3 linked regions of the Macaca mulatta genome follow. The protein of the gene in region 1 purifies or fractionates together with the protein of each later gene. This does not show direct contact. Links are inferred from orthologs where the notes say so. Each region holds a gene or a part of one and is shown on either strand. Other genes may lie near its edges.

Region 1 (4,213 bases):
CTCAGCTCACTGCAACCTCTGCCTCCTAGGTTCAAGCAATTCTTCTGCCTCAGCCTCCCAAGTAACTGGGATTACAGGTGCCCGCCACCACGCCTGGCTAATTTTTGTATTTCTAGTAAAGGCGGAGTTTCACCTTGTTGGTCAGGCGGGTCTCGAACTCCTGACTTTGTGATCCGCCCACCTCAGCCTCCCAAAGTGCTGAGATTACAGGTGTGAGCCACCGTGCCGGTCCAGAACTTGTCATTTTAGCTGAGATCTTAAAGAAGTTTCCAAAGGTCACTCCAAGCAATCTTATTAGGACTTTAGTATTGGTGGCAGTATCATAGTCGGCATTTCTGATGCTTTGCACTGGGTCTGATTTTCTCTAAGCAAGAGCAATAATGTTTAGAAAAGGGAAGAGGTGTTTCTTTAATGCTTTCTTAATGCTTTCCTTAATGGAATCTGAGCTTGGAGAACTGCTAATTTAGTTAATCAAAAATCTTTCCTTGAAAGATAAAACCTAATCCTGATTATATTATCAGATGTACAAGAGCTCTTTCTATATAATTTTTGCTGCAGTGTGGCACTGAAAAGGGCCTTGAGTTTAGTGTCCTGCCGTCAAACACTTCGCTAATGATTTAGTAAACCTTTTGTGTGCTTCTATTTAATTTCATTTGCTCAGATGGATAGATAGGTAAATAGATTAATAGATCAATTTGTTCCTTAAAAATTGAATGACAGCTGGCCATGGTGGCTCATACCTATAAACCCAAGCTGAGGCTGGCGGATCGCTTGACCCCAGGAGTTCAAGACCAGCCTGGGCAATATGGCAATATGGCAAAACCCCATCTTGACAAAGATGCAAAAAATTAGCTGAATGTGGTGGCATGTACCTATAGTCCTGCTACTCGGAAGGCTGAGGTAGGAGGAGGTTTGATCCTGGGAGGTTTGAGTCTTCAGTGAGCCATGATCTTGCCACTGCACTCCAGCCTGGGTGACAGAGTAAGACCCTGTCTTAAAAAAAAAAAAAAAAAATTGAATGACAACTCTGTGTGTGTGTGTGTGTATAACATCTTGTAATTACTTGTCCTTTTCAAAACTTCTGAAAGGATCTTGGATTTGATACTTGATCTACCATGCTTTGTATTTATGGTGTTATATTAAGTGATGTTCATGAGGATGACTTTGCAAGATTAAATTGAGCTCATTAAAGCCAATATGCATTTTAGGAGGATTTTTAGCAAGGTTTAAACATTTACAGTGCATATCGTACCAGCCTTTCTTAGACCAGCAGAGGGCAATAAATCCTTACAGGTATAGTGGGAAATTCAGGCTAGAGTTTTCCATTCATAGTTCAGAGTGGAGGAAGATTAAAAATTACAGTTTTAAAACAATGTTCAGAATAAAGGAGCTTGTTTATTTTGCAGTGATAATAGGTGTATACAAATTGATTCATATCCTGCCTCACTTTCACAGTAAAAATATCTGATGTGAGGAGAAATTTGCTATGCCTGCATAGCTTTTTCCTTAAAAGCTATAAATACAAAGTTCTTTTCCAGCTTTATTCTAGAAAATGGAAGAGATTCCTGTAAGCACTTATGGAAAGCTGTTAAGTCGCCTACTAATACTTTTCTCTCTGGAGTGTGATTGTTTTTTCCTGCCTAAAGGTATCCTTAAATTCTCCAAACATTGAGATTTTTCTCTTGTATTTCCTAGTAGTGTTCTAATGTCAGAGGCCTCAGGTTTTGACCTTCTTAGGATAGAAGAACCTATCAAGAACGTATGCTAGATTGGGTTACCTGCCCTTTTGCCACTGATAGTGAGAAGGCTAAACCTAATCTAGTGCCTTGCATATGAACATAGTTTACCCCACTAGCTACTTCCACCATTCAGCCTACTTAAAATGCTGGATTAAAATGATTCTCACATCCCAGATAAGCTAGTAGTAAGTTTTAACCAGAACTCAAATGATACTTTTCACTGTTTTGTTTGTTTGTTTGTTTGTTTGTTTCCTATTCATGGAACAAATGTTTGAGGATCTACTCTGTTCAAAGCACTATAAAATCTAGTGAAGAAAAAGTAAGACATAAAATTTATCCTCAAGAGTCTTGAAGTATAAGGGGAAATTAGATGAATATATTATGCAATGGAAGAAATCCTACCCTGGGCTGGAGAGAGAGGGTCTTATAAAGGTGTTTTACTGTCAGTTGCACGTTGGCTGCATTCTTTTTTTAAGAAATGTTTTCATCAAATTTTTTTCTCTTGATATCGCCATTTTCATACCAAGTATTCAGACTGAGTTCATGAGATTGGATCTAATCTAAAGCCTCTTTCTAGGGTTTTGTTTTTCTGCCAGTGTCCAGTTCCCTTGTATTTCATGGATAAAGCTAGACCATCTGCTTCAATAGGCAATACAGTGATAAAACTTGCTAGAATATATATGCTGTCTATATCCATTTGACCACTAGAAATAACGAGAGCCAAGTAATTTGTTTTTTTTCCTCTGGCAGTGGCTATTTTCAATGGACACCAGAACTCTACCTTTTATGTAAAATCCAGCCTTAGTCCAGATGACCAGTTTTTAGTCAGTGGCTCAAGTGATGAAGCTGCCTACATATGGAAGGTAAGCTGCTAACCTTCACCCACAAATGTTAGACTGAAGTATTCTTGCAAATATTTGTTCTGTCCAATATGAGGTAAGTTTAATGTAACCACATACTCTACTATTCCTACGTCAGATATTTAGTAAAGGTTGCTCTTGGCTCTTAATATAGCTGAAACCTTACTCTGCTACAGAATGTATGACACTTTCAGGGCCATAGCTTGTCAGAAATTGACAATTTGTATCCTCTGTTTCACAAATGATTAGGAATTGAGAATTCAGAGGGTAGTAAGAACCTTAACTACTTTGTTCCTGCATCCTGGAAAATATGCTGTACTGACTTTCTGCCCTGTGTTTTCAAACTCTCGTTCAGAATACAGTATTTTGATCCTTAGGATCCTGTGTTTGAATCACCCATGGAGCCTTGCACAAAACAGAAACTCAAAACTATTTGTGTGATTAATTTAATCTTTATTCTCTTGTTACAAGTAGCTGATCTTCAGGCTACAAGTAGATATGGCTGCTTTCTCCGATTTTTATATATTTAATAGCATTATTTAATAATCTTTTTTTTTTTTTTTTTTTTTTTTTGGGGATGGAGTCTCGCTCTGTCACCCAGACAGGAGTGCAGTGGCATGATCTCGGCTCACTGCAAGCTCCGCCTCCCAGGTTCATGCCATTCTCCTGCCTCAGCCTCCCAAGTAGCTGGGACTACAGGCGCCCGCCACCACGCCCGGCTAATTTTTTCTGTAGTTTTAGTAGAGATGGGGTTTCAACATGTTAGCCAGGATGGTCTCAATCTCCTGACCTCATGATCTGCCCAAGTCGGCCTCCCAAAGTGCTGGGATTTCAGGGTGAGCCACCACACCTGACCAATAATCTTTTAATTAACTTTTTTTAATAACAGTAATTCTAAAGTGTCTACTGTAAGCTAAGAAATTTAAAGCTGTCCATTTGAAGCCCAGTGGAGAAAATAAAAATATTACACAACAGGTAGCACTTATTACTGAAAACTGTCTCTTGAAGGAATAATTAATTATGGAAATGTTCTGGGAATTCAGAGAACAATCATTAACGCATTGTTTACCCATGACTAAGAATTAGTTATCTTCTAGATCTCCCTGTAACTTCATTAATGTCTTTGACATTGGTGAATTGAATGATTAGAGTTCACATATTTTGGGTTTTAAAGTCATAACGTCTAAAACTTCATAGATCCCATAGTTTTGATAGTATCAAACCCTTCTCAAGAGAAAGTTGTATCATTCTTTATCCTGCCAAGCTCTAGAAAGTAATATTGCTAATTTTTTTTAGGACGGGGTAAAACCTGTTTAGTATGAAGCATAATTCTTCAGCTTAATTTCTTCCAGTCCTGAGGGAAGTACAAAAAAAAGTGGTTTCTATATAACTAGAGTTGCGAAAATGCAACACTGCTTTATTAAAATTTTAGTGACAACATCCTAAATAGTCACAAGGTGGAGATATTGCTCTATCTAAGATGCTTCTATGCTGGGCCTGCCTTTTTCTACAAGCATATTTCTTTCGTTATATTTTTAAATGAAAATTTGCCTATAAAATATATACTTGAGACTCCACCACAAGATGGAGTTTCCTTTTTAGAGTATTCTTCTT
Region 2 (4,731 bases), on another chromosome or scaffold:
TGAACAACACCCGTCAGACGCATCTACCGAGCGATATGAAGTGTGCATTGTGCTTGGAGAGTGAAGGGCGTTAAAACACAGCGAAGACCAGGGACACCAGCCCGGCCTGAAACACCGCCACAGCCTCGCGCTTACCCCTCCATCGCCTCCTGGAGTCCCCGAAGTCATCCCGCATCCTGCTGGGAAGCAGCGTCCACCCGACACAGCACCGCCCACACCGGGCCCTTGGCGCGGCTCGCAGGCCCTTCGGGCCCCCTGGGGGCGCGGCCACACACGCCAGCAATGAGGGCAGTGACCTGGAGCCCCCGCGTCTACTTACACCGCGACAACTCCGCGATCCACGGACACCGCCCGGCCCCCACGGCGGCCCTGCAGGGGAGCCCCGGCCGCCGCTGTTCGGCCTTTCAGTCGGCTCGCGCCGCTGCCCGCCGGGGACCCGGACAGAGGACAGGGGGCGAGGCGCGAAAGGAAGACGCCTGAGGGTCCAAGGCAGGAGGGGACACACGGAACACGCCGAGGGCCAGCCACACCGCCGCGCGCTCCCCGGCTAGGACCCACCTGCTGCAGGTACTGGTTGATGGTAATGTGTGCCATGGCAGCGCCGCCGAGCACAGAGCGCCACCCCCTACACCCCAAGCGGGACAGCTGGCGTCACTTCCTGCCCTCGGTCCGTCTGGGTCCCGGAGCCCCCGACCCCGTCTCCTGTGCGCAGGGTGGTTCCGGAGGGAGAATCCAGGGACCGGCTCGGCGACACGCTCGGGCTAAGGGGTCCCGGGGTCTTTCTGTCGGGCCCCCGTCCTCTCAGCCGGGACGCCAGCGACTCTGATTGTGTGTTCGGGCCCGCCCGGGCTGAGGGGTTTGGGGTCCAGTGGCGAGAACAGCCCCACTGCTAAAGTGCCTTTCACTGCGCTGTCCCCTCGACTGCCCCTTGTGAAAACGAGGCCGCGGATCACGCTCCGCGCCGGGCTGGGCCAGGGACTCGGGACGCGCGCGCCCGAGCGAGGGTGGAGGGGAGGGACATGGCGCGCGCTCCCGAGCTCTCATAAGGTGCCTCCGCCGCGCGCTCCCGAGACTTCAGAAGTTGGGGCACGTCCCGGCGCGCACCCCCAAGCCCTCGAGGTGGTCTCACGCCCCGGGTGCGGGTGCCGAACCCTCAGGAGGAGCGCTCCCTGGGGCCCTCAGGAGGGGGTCCCGGCTCCCGAGCCCCTCAGGAGGGGGCCCCCGGCACGCACCCCCGAGCCAGGAGGGGGTACCCAGAGCCCCGGGGGTGTCCCGGTGCGCCCCCCGGAACCGGGGCTGTCCCGATCCCTCGGGGGCGGGGGTGGGGGTCCCGGCGCGCGCCCTCGAGCCAGGAATGGGTGTCCGAAGCTCTTAGGGGGGGTCCGATCCCTCAGGAGGGGTTCCCAGCGCGCGCCCCTAAGGGCTCAGCAGTAGCCGGGCGCGGCGGCGGTTGGACTCGGGCACGCGGGCGGGGCGGGGCGGGGCGCGCGAGGAGGACTGGGCGGAGGCCGCGCGGACCGGGGCGGGCGGAGCGGAGCTGGGCGGGCGGCGGCGCTCGGGGCGGGGCGCGGCGGTTCCGGCCCAGCCATGGCGGACGAGGCCCCGCGGAAGGGCAGCTTCTCGGCGCTCGTGGGCCGCACCAACGGCCTCACCAAGCCCGCGGCCCTGGCCGCCGCGCCCGCCAAGCCGGGGGGCGCGGGCGGCTCCAAGAAGCTGGTCATCAAGAACTTCCGAGGTGGGTGCGGCGGCCGGGTCGAGGGCCGGGCGACCCCAGCGGGCCCCACGAGACCCCGCCCGCCCTGGGGGGAAGGCCCGAGATCCGTACGGGCCTCTTGAGCGCGGGCGCTGGGGCGCCGGCCGGGTCGGGGGTGGCGACGCGGGGCGCTTCGCGGCGCGCCCTGAGCCGCCCGCTCTCTCTCCGCCCTGCAGACAGACCCCGGCTGCCCGACAACTACACGCAAGACACGTGGCGGAAGCTGCACGAGGCGGTGCGGGCCGTGCAGAGCAGCACCTCCATCAGGTACAACCTCGAGGAGCTCTACCAGGTGAGGCGGCGGCCGAGGCTGGGGGCGCCGCTCCTGCCCCGCGTGACGCAGACGCGGCCGGGCGGCCGCTCCGGGTGCCTCGCAGGCTCTCGCCGGGGAGCGGAAAGGCAGGGCGTTTGCCTCCACTGCAGGGCCGGGAGCCCCAGAGGCAACAAGTGGTTTTGTTTATTGCCGTGGTGGAATTTTTGTTTTCAGGCTTAAGCTGCTTAGAACGATTCTTAAAGTTATCCCATTACCGAAGAGAAGGAGGTGTGTTTCTAGGAGCCACGTGACTCATATTTTGCAAGTATACAGCAAATTATTTCTCTCGTTATAAATAAAACTGTTAGTACTGTGTCACTTGCCACAGTAATAGGGTTTTTTCTCTGTTGTGTTTTGTGATTAATGGTTCCCTTTAAGATATTCAGATTTTGAAAAACTTCAAAATTCAAAAACAGTGCTTTTCTTCTCTGTTTTGTGATCAGTGGTTGCCTTTAAGATATTCAGATTTTGTAGCGTTTAATTCAAAGTGATGGTGTTCCATTTATAAAGTAACAAAAAATGGCTAAAAGTGCATTTTACCGTACTTGGATATTTTATTTACATGCGGATGTTTTTTTCTGGCGTCGTCTTTTTGTAAAACAACGTTCATTAAGTAGTCTGATATCTACATTTTGGGTCACGATGTGTCATACACTTATTTCTGTGAAAATACTTGAATTAAAAAAATTCTTTTCTGGATATGCAAGTGACTGCATTGTAAAAATTATAAAAAATATATAAAAGAAGACTTCAATCACCTATACTCCTACCACCCAAAGAAAACTGTTGACAGTTTGGTGTACATACACATCCATTCTTTGTCTGAAGTGTAAGTGAGTTATGTTTTCTTGTCAGCTTTGAGATACAGTCTACATATAATATGCACTCCAAGAAGTTTTAACAGATGTATATATACCGTTATGTAACCGGCACCATGGTCAAGATAGACTCTTCTTGGTAGAAAGGTAGAATATTTTTACCACCCCCGAAATTGCCATGACCACTTTTGCAATCAGCCCTCTCCCCTGACTCCTAACCCTTGGCAGTCCCCCATTTGCTTTCTGTCGCTATATTTTGTCATTTCCAGAACGTTATCTAAATGCAGTCATCTATTTTGTAGTGTCTGGCTTCATTCACTTAGGACAGTGCTTTTGAGATTCATGTGCACGCAATGTGATTGTAACTTGTTTATTACCTCATAGAATGGGTATACCACAGTTATTTTCTCCATTCATCAGTTAATGGACATTTGAGTGTCCATGTTTGGGGTTTTTTATTTGTTTCTTTGAGATAGAGTTTCACTCTTGTCACCCCAGGCTGGAGTGCAGTGGCGCGATCTTGGCTCACTGCAACCTCGCAGATTGAAGCGATTCCCCTGCCTCAGCCTCCCAAGTAGCTGAGATTACAGGCACCCGCCACCACACCTGGCTAATTTTTGTATTTTCACCATGTTGGTCAGGCTGGTCTCAAACTCCTGACCTCAGGTGATCCGCCTGCCTTGGCCTCTCAAAGTGTTGCGATTACAGGCGTGAGCCCCTGCACCGGCCTTGGGTTGTTTTAAATAAAGCTGCTGTGAACATCTGTGAATGACCCTTTGTTTGGACATACATTCTTATTCCTCTCAGGTAAGTTCTGCTTACTTCTTTATCTAGAAGTAAGTTCTCAAGGGTCATATGGAAAATATATGTTTACCTTTTTATGAAATTTCTTGTTTTTCACAGTGGCTGCCCCTTTTGTGCCTCTCCCAGCAGTGTATGGGAGTTCCAGTTCCAGTCCGCCACCAGCATGTGGTGTCCTCAGCCTATAATTTTAGCTGCGCTAGTGGGTGTGTGGTGGAGTGTCGCTGTGGTTTTAGTTTGCATTTCCCTCTGATGTGAAGCATCTTCATATTTACTTGCCATTCTATGTATCTTTTTAGACGAAGTGTCTATTTAAATATTTTGCTCATTTTTGTTGTGTTGGTTATTTTCTTACTATTGAGTATTTGAGTTTATTAAGTATTCTGGATACAAGTCCTGTATCAGATATTCGCCTTACAAATACTTTCTCCCTAGTCTTCAACTTGTCTTTTGATTCTCTTAATTGTGCCATTTGAAGAGTAATAGTTTTAAGTTTTCAGGTCACATGTATCAGTTTGTTCTTCTATGGACTGTACTTTTAGTATCCAAGAAATCTTGCCTAATCTAAGGTCACAAAGTTTTCTCTTATATTTTCTTCCAGACATTTGAGAGTTTTAGGTTTTACATTTAGGTCTATGATCTATGTAGAGTGAATTTTTGTATATATTGTGAAATATAAATCTAGAGTCAGAGCGGGTGCAGTGGCTCATGCCTGTAATCCCAGCACTTTGGGAGGCCAAGGCGGGTGGATCACCTGAGCACTCAGGAGTTTGAGACCAACCTGGCCAACATGGTGAAACCCCATCTCTGCTAAAAATACAAAAAATTAGCCGGGCGTGGTGGCAGGCGCCTGGAATCCCAGCTACTCGGGAGGCTGAGGCCAGAGAATCGCTTGAACCCGGGAGGGAGAGGTTGCAGTGAGCCGAGGTTGTGCCACTGCACTCCAGCCTGAGCAACAGAATGAGACTCCATCTCAAAAAATAAACAAACAAACAAAAAATCTAGAGTCAGTATTTTCCTTGCAAATGTCCAGTTTTTCAGCCTCT
Region 3 (4,951 bases), on another chromosome or scaffold:
TCTAGCCTGGGCAACAGAGCGAGTCCCTGTCTTGAAAAAAAAAAACACAAAAAACAAAAACAAAAAACCATGCTATAAATCTTATCAGGCTTTTAATCTCGTACATTTTACATATAAATCATTAAAATTTAAATATAACATTTCCTATAAAGGGGATAATTTTAAGTCTAGAAACTCAAAAGTCACCTTGAGACTCTAACTTGCACTTACTAAACTATAAGAAACAACATTTTTACCTGTTTGGCATTTTCTATGTATGCAGCCATGTATTCATATGCAGCAGCCTGAGCATTTACTCGAGTTTCAGTGCCCTCCACAGGCAAAGCAAAGCTGTCCATAATGATCATGGTTTCACCATCCACCTTTCCTAGCATCAGACCCATCACTTCCAAGTTGCCTCCTGATCTGGCATGCATCACCATCTTCAGTAGAGCCAATGCCGAGATTTTGCAGTACTTAAAGTAATGGTGACTGCAAAACAAAATCACAATGTAATTAAATTTCTTATATAAAGTAAAATTTCAGAAAAGTTTTTATGAAGATAAAGAGTAAGTATTGAAGGAATTTACAGCGATGGAAGGGGAGTGTAGACTATGGGGAGAAAAAGTAGAAAAGGACAGTTTTTGCAGGCTGGAAACAATAAGTATGTTATAGTCCTGCAATGCATCCCCCTTGGGGGAGGGGAAAAGTCTGAAATAGTTTTTTAATATGCTAAATAAGGGAGTAACATGACCAGTTCAATAGACTTTTTCTCCATTAATCTGGAATCACCCAATCTTGGATTCTGACTGCTTGGATGGTTGTGCCTAACTGTTCTGAGGCCTAACCTCTGGCCTAATGGTTAAGAATGTGGGTTCTGACATTCATCTGCTAAGGTTTGAATCTTGACATTGCCATTCCCTAGCTGTGGTATTGGGACAACCATGTAATGTCTATGCCTAGGTTTCCTTTTCTGTAAATAGGGATAGTCATAATTGTTATTAGGATAAAGTAAATGAAATAATGTATATAAAGTGCTTAGCTTAGCACCTTACACATACTAGAACCCTAATAAGTGCTAGCTGTTATCAGCATTATTAACCTGTCTCTTAACCCTACTCTCAAAGAACAGAGTGTTGAAGGGTGGGCTTCCCTGTTATATCAGCCTCAAATTAAAAAGTAGCCATAATATCCTAGTCTTCTATGATCATTATTTCAGAGTTGGTCATCAATGAATTAAACTCTTGAATAAAATTACATTTTGGTCTCATTAGTGCAGCCCAAGACAGCTAGGATGAATATAATTAGAGCCACAATTAGACAGTGAAGCAGGCCGACAGTTTCCAAATATTTAAGAGTACACAAACCTAAAATGCACAACCTGCTACAGAAACAAGCAGACAACCAAGCAACTTAAGCAGCCTTACAGAGCAGTCAGTCAACGTCTCTACAAAGCCTTTTTAGATGTCTGCCCACAGAAAGAATCCAAATTTAATTCCTAAGCTTTGCCAGATTTCAACCAAAAGCTGAAAAATGTGTAGACCTCATGTTGGAAATCAAGACATGAATCGAAATCTTGGCTTCTCCCTTTACTGGAGAAAAGAAGAAAGACAAGTTACTGTGCTCCTATTACATATATTCTAGACGACTCTTTTTATACATTATCTCACCTAATCTCTATGACAATACCAATAGGTAGGTCTTATTTCCATACTATGACAAATGAAGATGGATAAGTAAATTTCCTAAGGTCAGTCAACCAGTTAGTGACAGCTGTGAAGTTTGATCTTAGGTCTGACTATTGCTCAGCTAAGAGTTCACTTATCTCAGTGTGATCATAAATTACATAATGTATTTGCTTGTTTTTTAATTTGTAAAAAAAGGATGGATATACTGTACTGGGTTGTCATAAAGATTAAATGACGTGGAAATCTCTAGCTAGATGCTTCCGCAATTCACCATTGTGGAATCTGAATACTGAGAGACAAGGCTAGCTTTGTAAAAAAAACTGTGAGGCAGTAGAAGTATGTCCTCTTGTTGACTGCAGCTCTCATTTCTATCTAACCATTAGCTTTTGTGCTCCTTTTACTCTCTCTCAAACATAGCCCGTAATAATTATCTTTTCCTGAGAGCAGGAAATCTCTCAGGAGATGCTCTCAGGAAAACATAAATATTATGGGTAAAGATCCCTCGACTTGTCACCACTCCCAGGGAAAAATGGGTATTGTTGAAGGGCAAAAAGTCGTAAGCTCTATTTTTAAAATTTCTGGCTTATAGGAACTGATGGAGTAACATTGTAGAGACCAGGTAGAGCCTCCGTGTGCCTCCGAAATAATTATCAGCAATCAAAAAACTATTATAGACCCAGGCCTCACGCCTGTAATTCCAGCATTTTGGAAGGCCAAGGTGGGAGGATCGCTTGAAGGCAGGAGCTCGGGATCAGCCTGAGCGACATAGCGAGGACCCACCTCTAGTTAAAAAAGAAAATAAAAGAAAATAGCTCATAGCTATTTTTGAGACCTTGAGCTGCTGACTCGATTTCTGAAAACAGCTGCGGTCCCCAGTAAGGGAATAGCTGAAGACCCAAATAAGGTGCATGTCGACACTGGGTTCAAGGCAGGGTGTGCGGCATATATGACAATACGGACGTTCAGAAGTGACAACTTAAATCACCGCTTGTTGTTCTCCCCTTACATCATCCGGGGGTAAATGGATTAAAGCGACAGAAAGGGAAGTCAAAGCCCCAGCGGAGGGCTTAGGCTCTACTTGCAGATCCAAGGCGCATATTCTGTTCCCCTCCCCGTCGGTGAAAGCTCTTCACCCCTTTCACCTCCCTCTCCCTCTGGGTCTCTTAAACTCCCGCCAACCCTTCCCTCCCCTGCGTCTCGCCAGGGACCTCCTCACTCCTTAGTCCAGGGCTTCGCCGCCAGGATTTCTTGCTGCTGTTTCTTGTCGTATTTGTAGATTTCATCGATACTCTGAGCTTCCTGCATATTGTTGGCCAATTCCCAGGTTTTCTGAGCCATACCGCTCCCGGACGCCGCCATTGCAGAGAAAGCGGAGAAGTTGTCGTCTCTACAACCAAGACGCAACTTTACCTCGCTAGGTCTCCGGGTGTGGGCCTTGACCCTCCGCACCACGGGAACAAACTCTTACCTAGACTCTCGGGGCAGCCATGACACCTAGAACCGGAGGTGAACTTGGTAGAGACCATTCAGGGAAGAGACAGGGACCTTTCCGGGACGTGACGATATAAGCAGCAGTTACAGGAATAGGGAGAGACGAATCTTCTTGTGACTTAAATTAGAACATCTTGTCTCGGAAAATTGTATGTGTGAAATAGAACAAACAGAATTATAGGGTATGGGAATGGTATAGTCTTCCATACCGGAAGAAGGGCATGTAACGTTATTCCAGAAACTGTTATTTGCCTTCTCTGCTTGTACTGCGCAGGCTCGGTCTCCGCCATATTAAAGGTAGTTGGAGCCTTAACGGTGGGATGTGGAGGGCAGAAAGTGTTTTTGTGTGGGTCTAGGTACCTTAAATGAGATAAGTTTGTTGAAAGACTAAAGGGTAAGGCCGTCTGTTGTACAACTGAGCTAAAAGTCGTTCTGGAAGCTGGTTGAGAGGAAGATAAACATGGCATTCCAGTTTACTTCAAGATGACTCACTGCACATGCGTAAAAGCTAACGGGCTCGTGGTGGCTTGGCACTTAACTTGCAGATGGGCTTTTTCTATCGATGCCAGGAGGCAGTGGGTACTCCTTGATTGCTATTGTCATGTCTTTTTGGGTGTCGGTAAAAATTAACATCTACATATGCATAATGTGCCATTACTGATCTGAAAATGTCCAGTACTCCGTTCTTATAATAGGTTACAGTTAAATCTTTGGCACTGCTGTGAATTATGTGCCATTACTGTTCTGAAAATGTCCAGTACTCAGTTCTTATAATAGGTTACAGTTAAATCTTTGGTACTCCTGTGAACCGCATTTGTTCCCAAAGCGTAATTAATCTCGGCAACTGGTTTGTTTTCTTCCTACAGTTAATACAATGTTCAATTATTTTTTTAAATTAGTTTACGTGTTTTAGGTTTTCTTTTTTCTCCATCTCATTTCTCTATCCATGCAAGATTTTAAGTTTCAAGACACAGGGAGCAGGTCTGCGTTCCTTGTTTTATCTCCTAGCACCTAGCATAGGTGTTCAAGATTTTTTTTTTTTTCCTTTCCTGAAAAGATAGCATCACAGGCCAGGCGCAGTGGCTCACGCCTGTAATCCCAGCACTTTGGGCAGCCGAGGCGGGCGGATCACTTGAGATCGAGAGTTCGAGACCAGCCTGGCCAACATGGTGAAGTCTCTAAAAAAATACAAAAAAATTAGCCAGTCGTGATGGTGTGCGCCTGTAGACCCAGCTACTCAGGAGGCTGAGGCAGGAGAATCGTTTGAACCCAGGAGGCGGAAGTTGCAGTGATCCTAGATCGCGCCACTCCAGCCTGTGAGACAGAGCCAGTCTCAAAAAAAAAAGAAAAGAAAAGAAAAAGAAAAAAGAAAAGATAGCACCACAGCTGTTAACAACCTGGCCCCTACGCACCTCTTCCAGCTTCATCTCTCTTTAGTCCCCCCTGAAACTTTTCGTTCTAGCAATGCAAATATATTTCCTTTGGCTTTGCATATGTGGTCAGCATTGCTTGAAATGCTCTTTCCTACATTTTCTGCCTGGGAACTCATATTAATCTTTAAAAATACAGTCCAGTGAGATCGACCACGAACTCTTTCTTGACACTCCAATGACCATTCCTTCCATGATGTCTCTTAAGTCTCTGTAGGTGCTTCTGTAACTGTTACAATGCGTTGTAATAATCAGTTAAGACAAAAACATTGGAATTATCGAATCCACACCACAGCTTGCTGTTTTGGCACTTTCAGTTGAAGAAAATTTGCTTTAAAACCATCTTACAAAGAAATTTAGGGT

Evidence for each region. The genes of interacting proteins can lie anywhere in the genome.
Region 2: the proteins of DTL (region 1) and CUL4A purify together in Homo sapiens (affinity purification with western blotting; 15 studies listed by BioGRID and IntAct, with this or other methods). This does not show direct contact. The link is inferred for Macaca mulatta from reciprocal best matches to the Homo sapiens genes DTL and CUL4A.
Region 3: the proteins of DTL (region 1) and COPS5 purify together in Homo sapiens (affinity purification with mass spectrometry; 6 studies listed by BioGRID and IntAct, with this or other methods). This does not show direct contact. The link is inferred for Macaca mulatta from reciprocal best matches to the Homo sapiens genes DTL and COPS5.

Annotation. Positions count from the first base shown.
Region 1 is NC_133406.1:69,805,680-69,809,892, forward strand, and holds part of DTL (denticleless protein homolog), read left to right. Parts: intron 1-2,489; coding exon 2,490-2,602; intron 2,603-4,213. UniProt on the Homo sapiens protein: Substrate-specific adapter of a DCX (DDB1-CUL4-X-box) E3 ubiquitin-protein ligase complex required for cell cycle control, DNA damage response and translesion DNA synthesis.
Region 2 is NC_133422.1:107,452,569-107,457,299, forward strand, and holds the start of CUL4A (cullin-4A), read left to right. Parts: upstream 1-1,572; 5' UTR 1,573-1,587; coding exon 1,588-1,735; intron 1,736-1,929; coding exon 1,930-2,045; intron 2,046-4,731. Other genes in the region: PCID2 (PCI domain-containing protein 2), read right to left, coding at 559-594. UniProt on the Homo sapiens protein: Core component of multiple cullin-RING-based E3 ubiquitin-protein ligase complexes which mediate the ubiquitination of target proteins. As a scaffold protein may contribute to catalysis through positioning of the substrate and the ubiquitin-conjugating enzyme.
Region 3 is NC_133413.1:77,753,072-77,758,022, forward strand, and holds the start of COPS5 (COP9 signalosome complex subunit 5), read right to left. Parts: upstream 3,160-4,951; 5' UTR 3,027-3,159; coding exon 2,884-3,026; exon of another isoform or gene 2,876-2,883; intron 472-2,875; coding exon 237-471; intron 1-236. UniProt on the Homo sapiens protein: Probable protease subunit of the COP9 signalosome complex (CSN), a complex involved in various cellular and developmental processes.